Linked DNA regions of Cricetulus griseus. The protein of the gene in region 4 interacts with the protein of the main gene of each other region in a pairwise test. Links are inferred from orthologs where the notes say so. Each region holds a gene or a part of one and is shown on either strand. Other genes may lie near its edges. The genes, in order: Ngly1, Mindy3, Zbtb8a and Rad23a.

Region 1 (4,312 bases), on a different chromosome or scaffold from region 4:
TCCAATACAAACAGTTTAAAGGAGAAAGGGTTCATTTTGGCTCAGGTTTAGAGGGTTCAGTCCCTAGTCACTTGGCAACATGGCCTATAGCCATGATGGTGGGACCATGTGGAAGAGGAGGCATCTCTAGTTAGACAGGAACTATACCAGAGCAGCAATAGGAAGTGGCTAGGGTAAGAGATAGCATCCAAAGGCATGTTCCTAGATATCTACTGCCTCCATTATGGCCCCACCTCCATAGTTCCATCCAGTCTAATTAATCTACTCAAAATTTGAATCCCTCAAGGGATTCTACAATCCATTTAGTCATGGACTTCCTAAACTGTCTCTAGAAATACTCTCATAGAAAACTATCACAACTTCCTCTCTCACTCAAAACAATCTAAAAGTCTTTGAAAGCCTGGTCTCTGTCTACCCCTAAAGTTATTTTCTGGGTCAGAGCTACCTCTGATAGAAGCCCTTTGCACATGCCAATCCTCTGCACCAACTGAGTTTCAGGTACCTGAATGGTATCTTGTTACTTAGGTTCTATCTTTACTTCCTCAGAGGCCTTCCCTAGTTACTTCACTGTACAGTGACTGCATCTCTAACTGCTGGGAGTACATTACCCTGTCTTGTTTTCTTCTTTGCACTTGTCTCTGCTTTCATGTTTTCTAATATATTAGAACATAAGCTCTGGGTGAGATGGGATTATATTAACTTATTTCACTGCTACATCCTTATGGTGTGCAACAGAATTGGGTTAGGAAGGGTAAACAGGAAGGAAAGCACATTCTATTTCTTTAACAAAGTCTATAAATGCTGACTCTGATACTGGCACCTGTAGTCCTGCTCAACTTCCAATACAATGTATCCTATACATCAGAAGTAGCAGAACATAAAAGATTCAAAATCCTGTCTGTCTGTCTTTTAGAGACAGTATGCAATTCAGGCTGCCCTGAACTCACCATCTTCCAGCCTAAGCTTCCTAAGTAGATAAGACTACCGAATATGCCAGCATATCTGACTAAAATTCACAATTCTGATAATTGTGTTTATTGGGTTATCTCTGCCACAGGTTTGAGAGGATGGAAACACTGAACTATTCTTGTGAAATGAAATGATAAAACATCTTGAGATTCCTGTCACAGAAGAAAACCATTCTGTGGGGCAGGTTAACTCATCTTTTCTGTATTTGTTTCACATTTCCTACTTCTTACTGGAGACAATGGTGATACCTTGGGATTCACTGTATACTCACAGAGCCAGTGCTTTCGAGAAGACTGAAGGGACCACATTTGATCTTTGGGTTTCATCCTTTTTATTCTGAATGACTGAGATTTGTAAGAATTCCTACATGACTTCATCTTACTTTAAAAATGTCTAACAGGTTAAAAAAAAATCAAGGCAAAAACCTAGTTCCATACATTTTCAAAATGATCAATTAATTAAAAATACTATTTCATTCAAACAACTATTCACTATTACTGCTGATTGCTTTGCACACGAAGAGGGGGAGGAAACCCTTACACATATACTTACCTCTTCAAAGCCCATTTCAAACAAACACTCAACGGCTCCTCTGACAGGCAAGAGTCTAGTAGAAAAAGCTGTGTTTCCAATACGGATGGATCTGTATTTTTCATCATTGGGGTTTCTGATTAAAAAAATAATAAAGATAGCATAATGGATAATATGTAGCAACTTATCTTTTTAAGAGTTTCTGCACTCCTACATGGCCGTATAGGTTGCAACTTTAAAGAGTGAGCAGTCCAGACAAGCAGTTCAATTTCATGATTTTTACCTCTGTACCACAGGGTACTTCTATTGTCCTCTACTGCAGTATGACAGTATTAATGCTGTCATAGGAAATGGTGTGATATTTTAATTCTGTGCTGTAGTTTCTAATGGAAAATGATGGACAGTAAGCTCTAGGCAGAGGGTAGAGAACTTGGCTTGCTCTGAGGGATCCCATCATCTATAATGGTGCACATGGCACAAAGATTGTGATTAAGAAGCCTTTGTGAACTGAAACACAGTTAAAGAAACTTTGCATGAACGTTAATAGTTACTTAGCTTCATTTTCTCTCTGGACCAATGACTGTTTTTATTGTAAGTTCCGACCTCAGTTGAAAATATATTTTTAGTATGTGAAGTAAGGTAATAAAAGGAAAACATGAATATTCAAGGACAAAGTTTACGTATTTACTGCTTAACTATCATACATTAGTGCTGGTCTACAAACTCTCTTCCATGAGAACTGCAAGACTGAGGGTCAATGATTTTTATAACAATTTGATAATACCATGAGATTTCCATTGCATTCTATAAAATTTGTAGATTCACCAAGGACTGGAAGTTAAAAAAAATTCTTTCCACAAATGATTTCAAAAGCAAGCAATGATTATTGGGAGCTAAGGACAGTTTATCCTCTCTACATTTATTCTATGCATTAGGCCAGAGTTTCTGACAGCCACATCTAGACCACAGCTGAGAGGAGATTCCCCATGCACCACAGAATGCTCAGCATCCCTGATGTCCATGGCATGCCATTTGAAGAAACAAAATTAAGCTATAAAGCAACCCCAATTTTTGTCAATATTAACTACAGATAACTGGGACTTTTTATGATACATGCCACAGGTGATAAACATGTCAGTGCTACCACAATGGTATATCCCAGATTTAAAAGGCAGCTATTTTAACTTCTCCAATAGTTTCTAGGGTTCTACATGACAATTACAATTACTTACTGGTTTTTATCGTCTATAAACAGAATAATGACAGTCATATCTAGTTCCCAGATTCTTTATTTTCTTTTTTCTTAGTTTTACCCAGGCTGGCCTTAAACTCAAAATTCTCCTTGTCTCAGGCTCCTCGTTGCTTGAATAAGTTATGCATGCCCAACCCAAATGCTTTTTTGAAAAAATTAAAAATGCTAAGCAGATTTGCATGAGCTTAAGCATACACTAAGTCTAAAAGTTGGTCCTGTTATGTCTATGGCACTACAGGCATTGACCTTAATTTTGCTTGATTCTCCATCAACTTAATTTTCTCTGCAGATTTTTCTGTTTTTGTTGCCACAATTTGATAGCCCCACATCTCTGTTATCTATTAAATATTTCTGCAAGTTGTAATCTTTATTTCACTTGTTAGCAATTATCTGATATCTTTTCTTGAGACACTTTCTGGATGGTTGGTTTTTGATGATGTTAAAACGATGGGATCTTGAGAAGGCAGCAAAATTCTTTGTACTTGCCCAACTGTCACTTTGAAAATATCTTGTCTTCCTAGTTGTTTTACTCTTATAGTTATCTACCAAATTATTTAATTTTCAGAAAAATAACATTTGTTTTGTATTTGAATCAGGTAAGAAAAGTCAATTCCCCCCCACACACCTTTTTTTGGAAACAGGGTCTCTGCTTAGGAAGAATACAGGATCAATTATTGGCCCCACCTCTACCATTCACTGTTGTTAAAAGCAAACAATGCATACTTATCAAAGCACAGTGGTATATGCCTATAATCCCAAAACAACACCGATGGTCACATGATGAAACTGTCTCAAAAACACAACAAAAATAATTCTCAAAAAACCCACCAGTGAGATACAAGATAAAACAAATAAAAATACATGAATGTGGGGAAAGGACTTGTAGAATAGAGGGGATGATGACAGGGAAGAGAAGGAAGAGCAAACAATGCACTACAACATGTATGAAATTTCAAAGAACAAATCTAATCAAATACTCCACTAAACTTGTAAACTAATTTAGTAATAATGATAATAGATAACCTCGGTGTAGCTATGTATATGCCAAGTCCTTTTTTTCTATATTTTACTGCAATCCTAGATAGAGTATTTTTCTTCCCTTTTATAAGGAAACTCAAACTGGGAAATTATATATAAATTGCTTACCATTACAGATTAAAAGTAGTTGATGAGAATTGAAACTTACTAGTTTTGTTATAAAGTCTAAACATACTCCACCATATAAGCTTCCAACAAACTCACCAACCCTCAACACTCACATTCAATTTCTCTATGTGACAGTGGCAACCTGCATTAAATAATAAAACTACTAGAAGTCTGTTTTATTATTTTGTCTTCTATTATTTCTTGCACTGTCATTACAATTGTGAACCTCTGCCAGTGTCTTTCTCCACTCCATCAGCATTTATGATTATGATTACAAAATTGCTTTACAATTACATTTAATGGTTGTTTCTTCTAATGCTATTCCTCATGAATCTCCACTCCAGAACCATGAGTTTCCTCTGCCTATCACCTCACATAAATGATCTCTGCTACTCCATCCATTGGTCCAACCTG
Region 2 (4,312 bases), about 60 Mb from region 4:
TTTGAAAACTACATATTTTTTTGTTTATGTTCCATACTTCCTTACCATGTTATCTAGGCCAGAAATACACAGAGTAAATGTATGGATTTTTATTTCATATTTAAATATCTGAAAGCAGAATTGAGTTCAAGTCAACATTCTTAAAGACTGGGGCAATTCTCTTTCTGAAGACAACCCTATCTTCTTACCATGGCTTAGTTTTGATTCTTAAACTGTACTTTAAACTACCCATAGTGAAATAACAGTCTTGAACAGTACCTCAAGAATCAGAAAAGAATGAATTTGCATATACCAGAAATAAGGCTTATATAAGTGATGAACAGATTCTGTAACTGAGGTAAGACTCAAAATGGTAAGAGCCTATGTACCAAGGGGAGGCAGGAGGGCAGGAGATATGGGTTCTGTAGTATGGTAACGAGAAGGGGGGGGGGAGAGGAGAATGTACAGGAAATTGCACCAGGATAACTTAGTAATGAACAAAAGACTAAAAGTTATGACCACAGCAAGCAGTAGGAAGTAGCAGTGATTGATAGAGGCCAGATGGGAAGAGATACTTAAACCACAGTTCCTTCTCTAGTTATCTGAAATTACAGCAGATACCTCAGAGACCAGGAATCTTTGGGAGGAGGAGAAATCAAAGAAACTGCACAGTACCCATGAGAGACCGGCACTTTAGCTAGCAGAATCACATGCTTTTAGACTAAATCAGAATGGCGAGTCCTTAGGATGTGCTTGTACAGAGCACTGAACAAGACAGCACTTGTGGGGTTCAGTATCCATGCAGTTTGCAAGGCTGGGCTCTTATTCTAACTTCCCCACTAAGGGAGTTACACTGAACACATTACCTAGTGGAGGGAGTCAGGCTCTTCATTTCCAAACAGTACAGTGGAAAGGTGTATTGTGTTCTCTAAATTCTGGGATTCTATAATTTTTACTCAAATTTTTCTTAACACTGTATTTTTCCTATGAAATAGCTATACAAATTTCTAAAATTTGAGGAAAATGCAAGTTAAAAGTTAAGAATCATATAAATGAAAAGCAGTAACATTTTCTCAAATGTAATATACTCTGTTGTTTGGTAACCATTCTATCGAACACCAAATTGGGGGAAAACATAAATTTGCCTACAAACAGGAACTATGAAGCTTCATGTCCTACAATAGACATTTCAGTAAAAGGTTTATTGCAATTATTCCATAAAAGTTAAATGACTACAGAAATGAGTTCAGACTGTCCAGTAATAAATTGAAGGGGATTTAATTCATTACTTTGCATCAGCTCTGCTTAAGGGAATGGCCTGGCTAATGCACTTCATTTGATGTTCATAACAACATAAGAAGCTACTGAAACAAAATAAATGAAACCAGAAATGGAAATGTAGTTGGAAAGGTAAGTAGATAGAAAGCATTAGAAAACAAAATCTGCCCAGCATATTATAGTATATATTAAAAGTAATACAGAGCTGTTGCTGCTATTGATGCATAACATACTGTCATTATTGGTCTGAATTTTTAGAAACTTTAGCTGTGCTGTCAACTTTGGAAAAAAGTATCCCAGTTTACCGTGTTGAGTTGGCATTGTACAAAATTTAACAGCCATATTGGTCTAGAAATGTTGAACTTAATTTTTTTCCATTTGTACAGAGGTAACGCACTGTATTAAATATGTAAGGTCTTAAAAAAAAAAGGGATTTTGAGAGCCCATCCCTTGTGAAGGGATGCTCCCCTGACCTGGACACATGGGGTAGGGCCTAGGCCTGGCCCAGGATGATGTGGTAGACTTTGGGGAGCCCCTTTTGAGGGCTTTACTCTGCCTGGGGAGTGGAGGGGGGATGGCTAGGGGCAGGTGGGATGTTGGGGGGAGGGAGAGGGAGAAGGGATTGACATCTGAAGCAAGCTTGTTCCTAATTACTAATAAAATATAATTAAAAAAGTAATACAGAGAAACCCAGGATACTGGCAAAACAAGTAATCCAATTACTTTATAATCTCCCATAACTCCCAACGCTGAATGCAGAGCTGTCCCTGGATAAGTAGTCATATATTACATCTACTAAGAGATAGATTACTATTTCTAAAGTTAGTCCCCACAGTCCCAATAACAAAACAGAGAAAACCAAAGCCTTGAGGATTCAAGTCTGACCAAGCTCATACATTTGGTACCCAAGACTGCCTGCCTGCTTCCAAAAATCTACACTTTAATGTTATGGTGTCCTGGAAACTATGAAGTTTCCTTCTAATAGAAAGCACTTACCTTAACATCCATATAATGGAGAGCCATTAAATAGATGAATATCAATCTCCCATATTTCACTAAAATATTAATAATTTGAGGCCATAGCAAAGAACATACTTACGCATTCCTGAGCATTCTCTATCACCATCCCATACATTAGAAACTGCATGTCCCGTCAGTAGGAGGTTAATTAAGCTTTGGCTATCAATAAAAATTAAATATCAGTTAAAACAAGCGTAAAACTTGTTCTTCAAATTAAGTAATTCCTACAATAAAGATTTTAATGACTTCTTATATTTGTTATGTTAAAACACGAAATGAGAGGAAACCTTACTTCATTTTTCTATGGCTGGCTATGGTGAAGGTCTTAGTGTTGCCCTACAATGGCATCTGTTACCATAATCATAGAAGCCACAAAACTTTAAGGGCATATTTAAAGGGATAAGTATTTGTCTGTTTACTTAGTATTTACACTTATTTTTATACATAATAATTTTTGGAATTATATCATTTCCCCCATTCCTTTCTTCAATCTCTCCCATGTACCTCTTTGCTCTCAAATTAATTGCCTCTTTTCTCTTGTTGTTACATATATTTACACACATACATACACAATCTCCTAAATAAATACAAACTACTTGGTCTATATAGTGTTCCTTGCATGTGCATGGAACTGGCTGACTACTTGGTACTGGAGAACCAACTGGAACTGGAAACATTACTACCTGGCAATGAAGTCATGTGTCTTGGAGAAGAACCTGCAAAAGCTCACTTTACTAAATCAGCATAATTCTTAACAACATTTAAAATATTTATCCTTATACATACATTCTTGCCCCCGCAACCAATAACCTTGGCTTTGTAATAGATGGAGAACATTATAATTATATTTAATATGCAGTCTTTGATAGAAGATAGGTTAATGTTAACAACTAAAGCAGACATATCTAAAAAGAAGGATGTGTGTGAGAATAGATTAATTTTCACTATTCCATTGATTTTTGGTAAAATAAAGTAAAAAAACTAGAAAAGAGTTGTTTTATCTCCAAAAGAAACTAGCACAGATAGGTAAGAAAATACTTATTTCTAGGTTAATGTGAGTAAATTTAGCTTTTTAAAAAAAATACATAAATGGATATAATAAAGGAGGCTTTGTTAAAAATATCTTGACAAGATACCTGTCATAATAAGTCATGTGTAAACAACTCGAAACTGGATGTTAACACTGGCTAAAGCAATGCAATGCACGCAGCCCAGGGCTACCAAGCCCGACTTGTTGCCAACACACTCATCAGAAACTCTCCTGCTCCTAAGTTCAGTAAGAGACAGCAGACTGCAGCCTTTACCTGCCATGCCCGTACACGGGGTCTATCAAAGGCTCATTTGCATCTTCAATTGAATTCTTTATGTTTTCAATGCCCTAAAGAAACCAAGATTTCATTAACTTCATTTTAAAATAAAGTACAAAGTATGATCAGTTTGGACTATATGTTTATAAAGTACTATTCGAATTACCCAGACTTGAAGTGGGGTTGCGTTTGATATGGTAAGAAGGGAACAACTAGTGTAATGGCTAAAACAGGCAAGGATACCGAAAGTATCAGAATTTGAGGCAGAACCACTGTTGAGAGTGAATAGTGAAAAAAAGTTCATGAGGGTGCAACACCTTAGCCCCTAGCTACCCAATCACCTGACCTCCAAGCACTTTTGGTACCTTACATTACTTAATGTAGTAACTTGTTTAATATTTGGTCAACTTCTGTTATTATTAATTCTTTATTCTATTTGTTCCCTTTCTCTTCCATTCTATTGTCACCATCCTGCTTTAGGTTTCCACTACAATACTATTTTCCTAGTTTCCTTGACTCTAGTGTTCTATATACCAAATGTCTTCATCACAAATTCTCATTCCAATTTCAGAATCTTACACACACACACACACACACACCACACACACACAGTCATTTCCATATTAAAAAATTGTATTACCTTTCACAGTTGTCCCTAGTTATTTGACACTGCAGTAGAACTGAAGTATTTATGATCTCCTAAGCTGTGTTATACCCCAATATCCCTT
Region 3 (5,112 bases), on a different chromosome or scaffold from region 4:
AAAAAACAAACCCAAAAGACAAAAACACATTTAAGAGGGGCTGGAGATGGTTAAGAGCACTGGCTAAGGACCTGGTTTGCTCCCCAGCACCAACAAGGAGGCTTATAACCATCCAAGGGGATCCAACACTATCATATGCACTTGGTATACAGACACACTTACAGGCAAAACACCATTTAAAACTTAAGAAAAAAAAGAGACAAACTATAGCTGAAAGCCTCAGTTAGAAGATGACATTTCATTTGAGTAATGTCCAAAGTAGGAAAGAGTCATTTATTTGTATCTGAAACAAGAGTACTCCAGACAAAGGGAACAGCAGGATGCAAAGGCCCTGAGTGGAACAAGCATGGAGAAGGCGTGGGGAGAGCTATGTCTATAATGCCAGCTGAGCTGGGTGGCTGAGGCAGGGAGGAGCAAGTCCAAGGCAGCCCTAGGCCACTCAGAAAACCCTCATCTCAAAATAAATTTACTTTAAAAAAAAATGTGGCTGGGCAGTGGTGGCGCATGCCTTTAATCCCAGCACTCAGGAGGCAGAGGCAGGCCGATCTCTGTGAGTTTGAGACCAACCTGGTCTACAAGAGCTAGTTCCAGGACAGCCTCCAAAGCCAAGAGACAAAAAAAAAAACCAAAAAAAAAATGTGGCTGGCACTCGGGAGGCAGAGGCAGGTGGATCTCTGTGAGTTGGAGTGAAAGACCCCGCCCCCTGGCTGGTTCTCTCTCGGTGACACTCCCGTACGCGCGCACACTCCCACACGCCTGGCGGCTGGCTCCCTCCCAAGCCGGTTCACCCAGGCGGGGGGCCCTCGACCCAGGCCCGCCCGCCTGGCGCCGCGCCCCGGGGCTGGGGCCGAGCGGGGAGAGGACGCCCCCCCCATGGGGAACCTCCGTCCCAAGGTCAGCCATCTGGACGCGGAGGGGGGAATTGGGTCTGTTGTACCAGGTGCAGACCTTGAGAATATACTGATAACTCTGTACCTCATTAAATTGTCCAATAGAATCCCTGTAACTATGCTTTTCGCTTCTGCACTGTGCTTTTTAGCTATATAAGGACCCCTCTCCCTTGGCTCGGGGCTTAGCCTACCCAAAAGCTAAGCCCCGGGGTACCAGCGCTACTAATAAAGCCTCTTGCTCTTACATCCAGAGTTCGTGGTTTCGCTGATTCCTGGGTGCGGGTCTCCTTCTACGAAAGTACCTCTTCTGAGGTCTTTCAGGAAGCCAGTCTGATCTATAGAGCAAGTGCCAGAAGAGGCTCCAAAGCTACAGAGAAACCCTATCTCACAAAACAAAAACAAACAAAAAAACCAAAAAAAAAAAAATGTGGCTGGATGGTGGTGGCGCACCCCTTTAATTCCAGCACTCCAGAGGCAGAGGCAGGTGGATCTATGAGTTCGAGGCCAGCCTGGTCTACAGAGTCAGGAGTTCCAGGGCAGCCGGGGCTACACAGAGAAACTCTGTTTGAGAAATAAATAAATAAATAAATAAATAAATAAATAAATAAATAAATAAGGAAGGGGTCTGGGAATGTATCCCAACAGTAAAATATTTGTCTAGCGTGTGCAAGTCCCTGGGTTCAATCCCGAAACACACACACACAAACACAGTGAGCCCAGTTCCTATAAGGCCTTGAAGACTATAGGTCTTCTGAGCCTTTGGGTTTTTTTGGTAAGATGTGGGGGTGGTTGCCATTTAAGGCTTGGGGAGGGTTGGGCATATGGTTCATTAGTCGAGTGCCTATGTAAACATGTATGAAGTCTTGGGTTCAATTCCAGCACAGATTCATGCCTGCAACCCCAGCACTTGACAGGTGGCTGTAGGAGAAACAGGAGTCCAAGGTCATCACAAACTATATAGATTTGGGGCCAGCCTAGGCTACATAGGACCTTGTCTTCAAAAGAAGATACTTTTTAAAAATCAGGGAAAATTTAAAAAAAACAACAACAACCTTATATCAACCCCTTTGATATTAAAGAATATAATTATGCCATTAAAAGATTTAAGACAGACTGAAATTCGACTAGTTCATCCCAACCCTCCCGAGGTAGAGATAGAATCAAAATTTCAAGCTAGCCTGAGTCCAGCTTAAAACAAAATTAAATAGGTAAATGGAAGTAAGCCTTAAGTGATAAAGATCAGTGAAGGTTTTTGGTTCTTGGAGACTGACTGCTCCAGGAGGCTGCTGGAATAGGAGGGCTGGAGAAGTTGTCAACACTCCCTGTCTAGGGGTGAGATTCCGTGGTTAGAGTCTTTCCTTTGCAAGGGAGAATAAACGGCCTGAACAGGTAGTTGTCTTATAAGAAATCAAGTGAACTATTTCATGAAAGCGAAACCACTCCATTTACTAAAGTCCTGCAAACATAAAGACTTCTAAGGTGTTAGCGGTGTGTGCGGTTGGGTGCCCGCTAGGTGTGAATCCCATTCCAAACACGTCTCGGAAAGACGTGGAATACTGCTAACCGCACGGTCAAGGGCGACTAAGCGCGCCAGAGCGCGAAGGGACCAAACCAGATAGTGTCGCCAGGTGGGAGATGCCAGGGACATTCTCCCGGGAGCCAGCTGGGGCTCCATATTCCTGTCCTCGGTTCTAAGCTCGGAACCGTCGTGTCGTGTCGTGTCGTGATCGAAAGCGAGAGGGCGGTGGGTGGAGTGAGAACGCCGGGCGGCAGCGCCCCGCGCCCCGCGCCCCGCGCGCCCGCGCCCCGCGCCCTTCCCCCGCCACGGCGCCCGACGGCTGCAGACACGCCCCGACTCCGTGGCGCCGCCTCCCTACCGCCGCCGCCAGGAGGCTCCGGCGCCTTCCCGCCTTTCCGGGGCCGGCCGCGGGCGGGGCGCGGGCGCGAGCGGCGACGACGCAGCCATTGTCCCGCAGCCGCGCCCGGGCCGCCGCGCCGCCGCCCGTGCCTCCTTTGTGGCCGTCGCCGGCCCCGGAGCTCTCCCCGAAAACGCCTACACACCGGGGCGCACCCGGCGGCCTCGCCGCCCTCCGCCAGGCTCTCGGCCGGGCCCGCAGCCCCGACGCCCCGGCCGCCCTCTGCCCGCCCGCGCCCTCGCAGCCACTTACCGCGGGGCTCTGGCCGCTCGTGCTCGCTGCGGAGTAATTCCCGGTTCCCGGTGGGGGAAGCACCCCCTTCCGAAGCCGAGGCTGTGCGCCCTAAAACAAGTAGCCCCAACGTGGGAGAAACAAAAGGTATTTGCTGACGTGGGCGTTGGACAGAAACGCCCGAGGGCTGAGGACACAATTAAAGGGGCAACGCACAGATTTCAGGCACCAACCAGCAGCTTCGCCCACTCCCCCTGTCCGTGCCCACACCCGGCTGCACCCTCCGCAGGCGCTGGGGCGCCCAGATTCCCCAGCAGTTGACTGCGGATCATTCTTTTAGTCGCGAGCTTAAATTTTAAAATTGTACTTTACGTTGGGAAAGGCGCCTCCGGAGGGCAGAAAAAGGGCTAGGATTTCTAAGATGTGGGGATATTGGTTTAAGGACAGAGGGAGGGACTTAGGCGTGCCCACAATTACTGTATAAGTACATATGACATTATTGTTCTTAAGTTTAGCAACGTCAAATGGAAGAGATTTCCACAAATTTCCTCTCTTTATCGAAGCACTTATTCTAGTCAGGGATAACCCTTTAGAAACCTTTGTAGGTCCCCTTCAGACCATTTGAAAAGGCAAGCCCAGAGAGGCTGAGATATTGAGAACATGATTTTATTTTGTGTTTTTGTTTTTCAAGACAGGGTTTCTCTGTGGCTTTGGGGGCTGTCGTGGAACTAGCTCTTGTAGACCAGGCTGGTCTCGAACTCACAGAGATCTGCCTGCCTCTGCCTCCCGAGTGCTGGGATTAAAGGCTTGTGCCACCACCGCCAAGCTAAACTAAATTAATTTTATATTTCCTCATATTAGTTGTTAATTGCTGTGAAATAGTGTATTATGATGAAATGGGGGGAGACTCAAATCTTCAAAGCATACATTTAATGTTTTTTTGAGGGGTTCCTCTCCCAAGTCTTAGTTGGGCCTATTAGGGTCTTGTTTCTTCGGTTTCCTCACCGATTAGCTAGAACAAAACATTTGGTCTTTCCTGAATATTATACCTGTTTACTCCAGAGTTGCTTTGTGATTTAGATGTGTTTCTTTACCTTTTGAGGTAATGGAAGGAAAAGTAGCCAGAAGCTAGTTTGAAAATCCTTACCACACCTTTAATCAAAGCACTCCAGGAGGCAGAGGCAGGCAGATCTCTGAGTTAGAAGCCCTCCCAGGACAGCCAGAGCCGCATAGTGAGACCCTGTCTTGAAAAAGAAAACCGTTATGGTTCAGCATTGCTGAATATGCTCAAGCTGTTCTAACATTCCCATTGAAGATTTATCCCAGAAAGAGCTGGACATTATAGTAGCTTATTGCAGCACTGGAAAGGCAGAGGCAAGCAGGTCTCTCTGTATTCAAGGCCATCCTGGTTTACAAAGAGAGTTCCAGGGCAGCCACAAGGAGACCCTGTCTCAAAACAAAAACATTCTGCTGCCAATTAAGCCAACCAGGAAGGTTCCTTTGCACCCTAGGGGGCCTGGCTTGCAATGCTTGCAAATAGCAGCCTTTTGTCCATTCCTGCGTCCAAGAGGAAGTTGGAAACAATTCTCCAGCGGCTATTCATGTCTCTGATCTGGAAGCTAGCCCTAGTCTACACTCCAGACAGGTATGTAGGGGAGCCCCAGGGCACACTGGCCACGGTTAATTTAGGCCAGGTCATCCTGTCAATCCAAACCACATCTCAGAGCAGAGGGGCCCCACCAAATGGAAAGCAGGTGAATTTGAAGGGGGAAAATGGTGTGTGTGTGTGTGTGTGTGTGTGTGTGTGTGTGTGTGTGTGGTGTGTTTCCTCCACTCTAAATGCCATTGCCACCCTGAACTCCTGGGCTCGCTCTATCATCATTGTCTTGTTCAACCACCCAAGCAGCTGGGAAGCGAGGTGTGTGCCGCTGCGCTGCGTCTGGCCAAAGGTTTTATTTTTAGTGTTAGTGAATTCAAACAGCCAACATAGCCAGGTGTGCTGTAAGGCCAGCGACTGGCAGATGTAAAACTGGAGGGCCCGGCAGGCATTCCAAGCTAGCCTAGGCTATACACCT
Region 4 (3,112 bases):
TGGGGCTAAGATGCCAAGCTGGGAATACGGGTTTGGTGACACATGCCTTAAATTCCAGCACTTGGGAGGCAGAGGCAGGTGGATCAGAGTTTAAGGCCAGCTTGGTCTACAGAGGAGTTTCAAGCTAGCCAGGGCTACATGGTGTCTCAATTAAATGTCTCAATAAAACAAACAAACAAAGAAGTAAATAAATATACCAAACCTAGGCATGGCAGTTCATTCCTTTAATCCCAGCACTCAGGAGGCTGAAGCTGGAGGATCACCATGAGTTTGAAACCATATAGTTCAGCCTAACCTATATAGTGAGACTGAAGAAAAACAAAAAGTTCAAATCAAATAATTGCAGATATGCTAGTTAAATCACTGAGGCCTTGTGGGAGGGACCCACTGTCTGGGGCAGGAAGAGGGGGGCTTGCCTCTGGCTAAAACAAGTACCAAGTGAAAATGCCCAGGGGTGGGAGAGCTCAGTGGCACGAACAGCACAGAAAGTCTGGGAAGACCTTTCTCCTGTGGCAGTGGGAAGCCACAGTGGCAAACAAGGCAGTGCTGCTTGGGTCCTTCTCTTTGTGGTGTTGCAAGTAAACCCAGGTCTCAACCTGCTAAGCACAAGCACTCCCTACTGAGTAACACTCAGCCTGTGCAACCTTTATCTTTTTTCTTTCTTTTTTGAAATGATTTCACTATTAGAAGGAGCTGTCTTCAAGTTCAGTGATCCTCCTGCCTCAGTCACCTAAGTGCTGTGCTTACAGGTATGCACTGTCACACTCGGCTCTAGAATCTATTAAATACACTCTACTTGGAAATCCAGAGATTCTGAAGCAACCGTTTGTTTCTGCAGACTTCTGACTATTTTCACATTAAAAAGGGCCTTTTCAGCAATCTAGCCTCTTGGTGGGCAGTTCACCAGGGGCACTGTGCAGAATTAGGAGACATGAGAGGAGGGTGCCAGGATACTGGGAGGGAGAAGTAGCTGCCATAGGGGTAGAAACAGAGAAACAGTCCCCACAAGGCTACCAGAGGCTCAGTGCAGAAATACAACTAGAATCAAACGGGCCTAAGAACTCATCGGTCCAGGAAGTCCTCTCATAGCTCAGATGAGAGGGTTCCAAGGGTTCTGGTGACACAGGTTCAGATAGGTCACCATACAGAGGGTCAAAAGGTGAAGGTCAGATCAAGAAGGCCAGGACTGAGGAGCAGGAAGGGGAGCAAGCACTCAAAAATGCTGTGACCAGAGTCCAGGACCCAGACATACGGCAACCTGCTCTGGGCCTGACCTTCAGCAGGTGGATGTCAATAACATCCATACCTCATGAGAGTCCAACTACACATAACCTTGCCGTCATCAGGGAGCAAGGGGCTGGGCCTGTGCTAGTTCTGCTTTCTCAGAGCAAAGCTATGTCCCTGGGTGATCCCCTAAAGAACTAGAAAAGGTGTCTGTCTCAGTTCCCTCACCCTGGGCCGCACCTGCAAGAGCTGAGGGTTCTCCTGGCCCAGTTGCTGGAGCAGTGCAGGGAGCAAGGCTGGATTCTGCTGGATCACCTGCCGCATGTTCTGGAACTGGGGCTGGTCCCGCAGGAACTCCAGGGGGTTTTCCCCTGCTGGTGGCAGGAAGAGGTGTGGTGAGAGCCCTGCAGGGCTCCTGTGTCTACTGTAGATACCCACATGTGCAAATCCATCCTACTCACCTGCTTCCACGGCCGGCTGTTCTGGTACCTGGCTCTCCTGAACAGAACCATGTTCCGGCTCAGGACTCCCGGGAATTCCCTGTCAGGGATCCTGCTTTTTAGTTCTCTCCAACAGACCCACTTCCCCCTCCCAGTTGATCAGCCTGACAGGAGACAGGAAGGCCTCATGCCTGCCTTCCACACTCTCGTACAGCCTCTTTGAGAAGCCTTCAGTGGCAACACGTGATACCCATGAGCCTATGGGGTAGGTTCCACCTCCATTGCCTGTTGAGGCACCAAGATCTGGAGACTCCCTCACCGTGAGCAAGTATTCCACAGCTCTGTGGGGGTTGTTGTAGCTGGCCCTCAATGCGGCCACAACCCGCTCCCGCTCGTAGCCCATGGACATGATCTCAGTCAGCATCGTCTCATACTCAGAGCCAGTCACTGTGGAGGGAGCAGCAGGGCCTGGGTCACCAGGGGCACAGAAGGGCTGCTCCCAGACCCTCCCATACCCAGACAAGGCTGTCAAAGGCGGATGGCTGGGGCTCCCAGTCGCCTCTGCCCTGAGGACCACCCACCCACCTAATGTGGAAGCTGCGTCTTCCTCTCGCCCGCTGCTACCTGAAGAGGGAACAGAGCTGCAAATTCAAGAGAGAGAAATCGGACCCTGGCTTCTGGTGGCTTGCCCTCCCCACAAGTGCATGGGACCACACTGGAAAGTGCAGAGGACAGGGCACAGGTAAGGCTACTGCCCCTTCCTTACCCAGAGATGGATTCTGGAGATGTTGCAGTAGCTGATTCCTCTGATGGGCTCTTGTCCTCTCTGCTGGCAGGTGGAGGATGGGACATGCCTGATGTTGGAGCCGGAGGAAAGGGTGTGGAGGACTCTGGGGCAGCAGTGGGTGAGACCTCTGGGGGTGCTGGGGTACTTTGGCCAGCCTTGGCCTGTGGCAGCAAGAAAAAGGGATCAGGCAGCAGCATCCCTATCAAGCCTCAACATCCTGCCCCATCACAGCCCCACCCTGCCTATGGCTAATCTCTCCTGGGCACACAAGCCCTTTGCCAGCATCCCAGCTAATCTACCCACCTTGGTCACCATTACAACCACAAAGTTCTTCTCATCTATATGGTATTCCTTGATGGGGACATCATCATTCAAGATCTTGCCAGCATAGATGAGTTTCTGTCCAGCCACAGGGAAAGCATCTCTACCCTTCTCAGCCTCTATCTTCTCCTTCAGCACCTTCACCTGGAATAAGGAGTACAGGCATTAAAAACACGGCTTTAATAGTGTGATGTGTATGTTTACACATAGCACTAACACTCTAAGATACCCTCAGTGAAGTCTAGGCATGGTTGTGCACACATTGAATCCCAGTACTTTGGAACGACAAGTGGATCACTTTGAATTCCAGGCTAGCCAGGACTATATAGTGAAACTGTCT

Evidence for each region.
Region 1: the proteins of Rad23a (region 4) and Ngly1 interact in binary tests that used the Homo sapiens proteins (3 or more experiments, as listed by UniProt). The two-hybrid records come from large-scale screens. The link is inferred for Cricetulus griseus from reciprocal best matches to the Homo sapiens genes RAD23A and NGLY1.
Region 2: the proteins of Rad23a (region 4) and Mindy3 interact in binary tests that used the Homo sapiens proteins (3 or more experiments, as listed by UniProt). The two-hybrid records come from large-scale screens. The link is inferred for Cricetulus griseus from reciprocal best matches to the Homo sapiens genes RAD23A and MINDY3.
Region 3: the proteins of Rad23a (region 4) and Zbtb8a interact in binary tests that used the Homo sapiens proteins (3 or more experiments, as listed by UniProt). The two-hybrid records come from large-scale screens. The link is inferred for Cricetulus griseus from reciprocal best matches to the Homo sapiens genes RAD23A and ZBTB8A.

What each region holds. Positions count from the first base shown.
Region 1 is NW_023276807.1:173,735,269-173,739,580, reverse strand, and holds part of Ngly1 (peptide-N(4)-(N-acetyl-beta-glucosaminyl)asparagine amidase), read right to left. Parts: intron 1,637-4,312; coding exon 1,522-1,636; intron 1-1,521. UniProt on the Homo sapiens protein: Specifically deglycosylates the denatured form of N-linked glycoproteins in the cytoplasm and assists their proteasome-mediated degradation. Cleaves the beta-aspartyl-glucosamine (GlcNAc) of the glycan and the amide side chain of Asn, converting Asn to Asp.
Region 2 is NC_048596.1:219,999,833-220,004,144, reverse strand, and holds part of Mindy3 (ubiquitin carboxyl-terminal hydrolase MINDY-3), read right to left. Parts: intron 3,656-4,312; coding exon 3,582-3,655; intron 2,437-3,581; coding exon 2,357-2,436; intron 1-2,356. UniProt on the Homo sapiens protein: Hydrolase that can remove 'Lys-48'-linked conjugated ubiquitin from proteins.
Region 3 is NC_048595.1:23,662,730-23,667,841, reverse strand, and holds the start of Zbtb8a (zinc finger and BTB domain-containing protein 8A), read right to left. Parts: upstream 3,432-5,112; 5' UTR 3,059-3,431; exon of another isoform or gene 2,970-3,058; intron 1-2,969. UniProt on the Homo sapiens protein: May be involved in transcriptional regulation.
Region 4 is NC_048596.1:159,533,505-159,536,616, reverse strand, and holds part of Rad23a (UV excision repair protein RAD23 homolog A), read right to left. Parts: intron 2,917-3,112; coding exon 2,755-2,916; intron 2,613-2,754; coding exon 2,431-2,612; intron 2,306-2,430; coding exon 2,250-2,305; intron 2,112-2,249; coding exon 1,984-2,111; intron 1,765-1,983; coding exon 1,686-1,764; intron 1,599-1,685; coding exon 1,465-1,598; intron 1-1,464. UniProt on the Homo sapiens protein: Multiubiquitin chain receptor involved in modulation of proteasomal degradation. Binds to 'Lys-48'-linked polyubiquitin chains in a length-dependent manner and with a lower affinity to 'Lys-63'-linked polyubiquitin chains.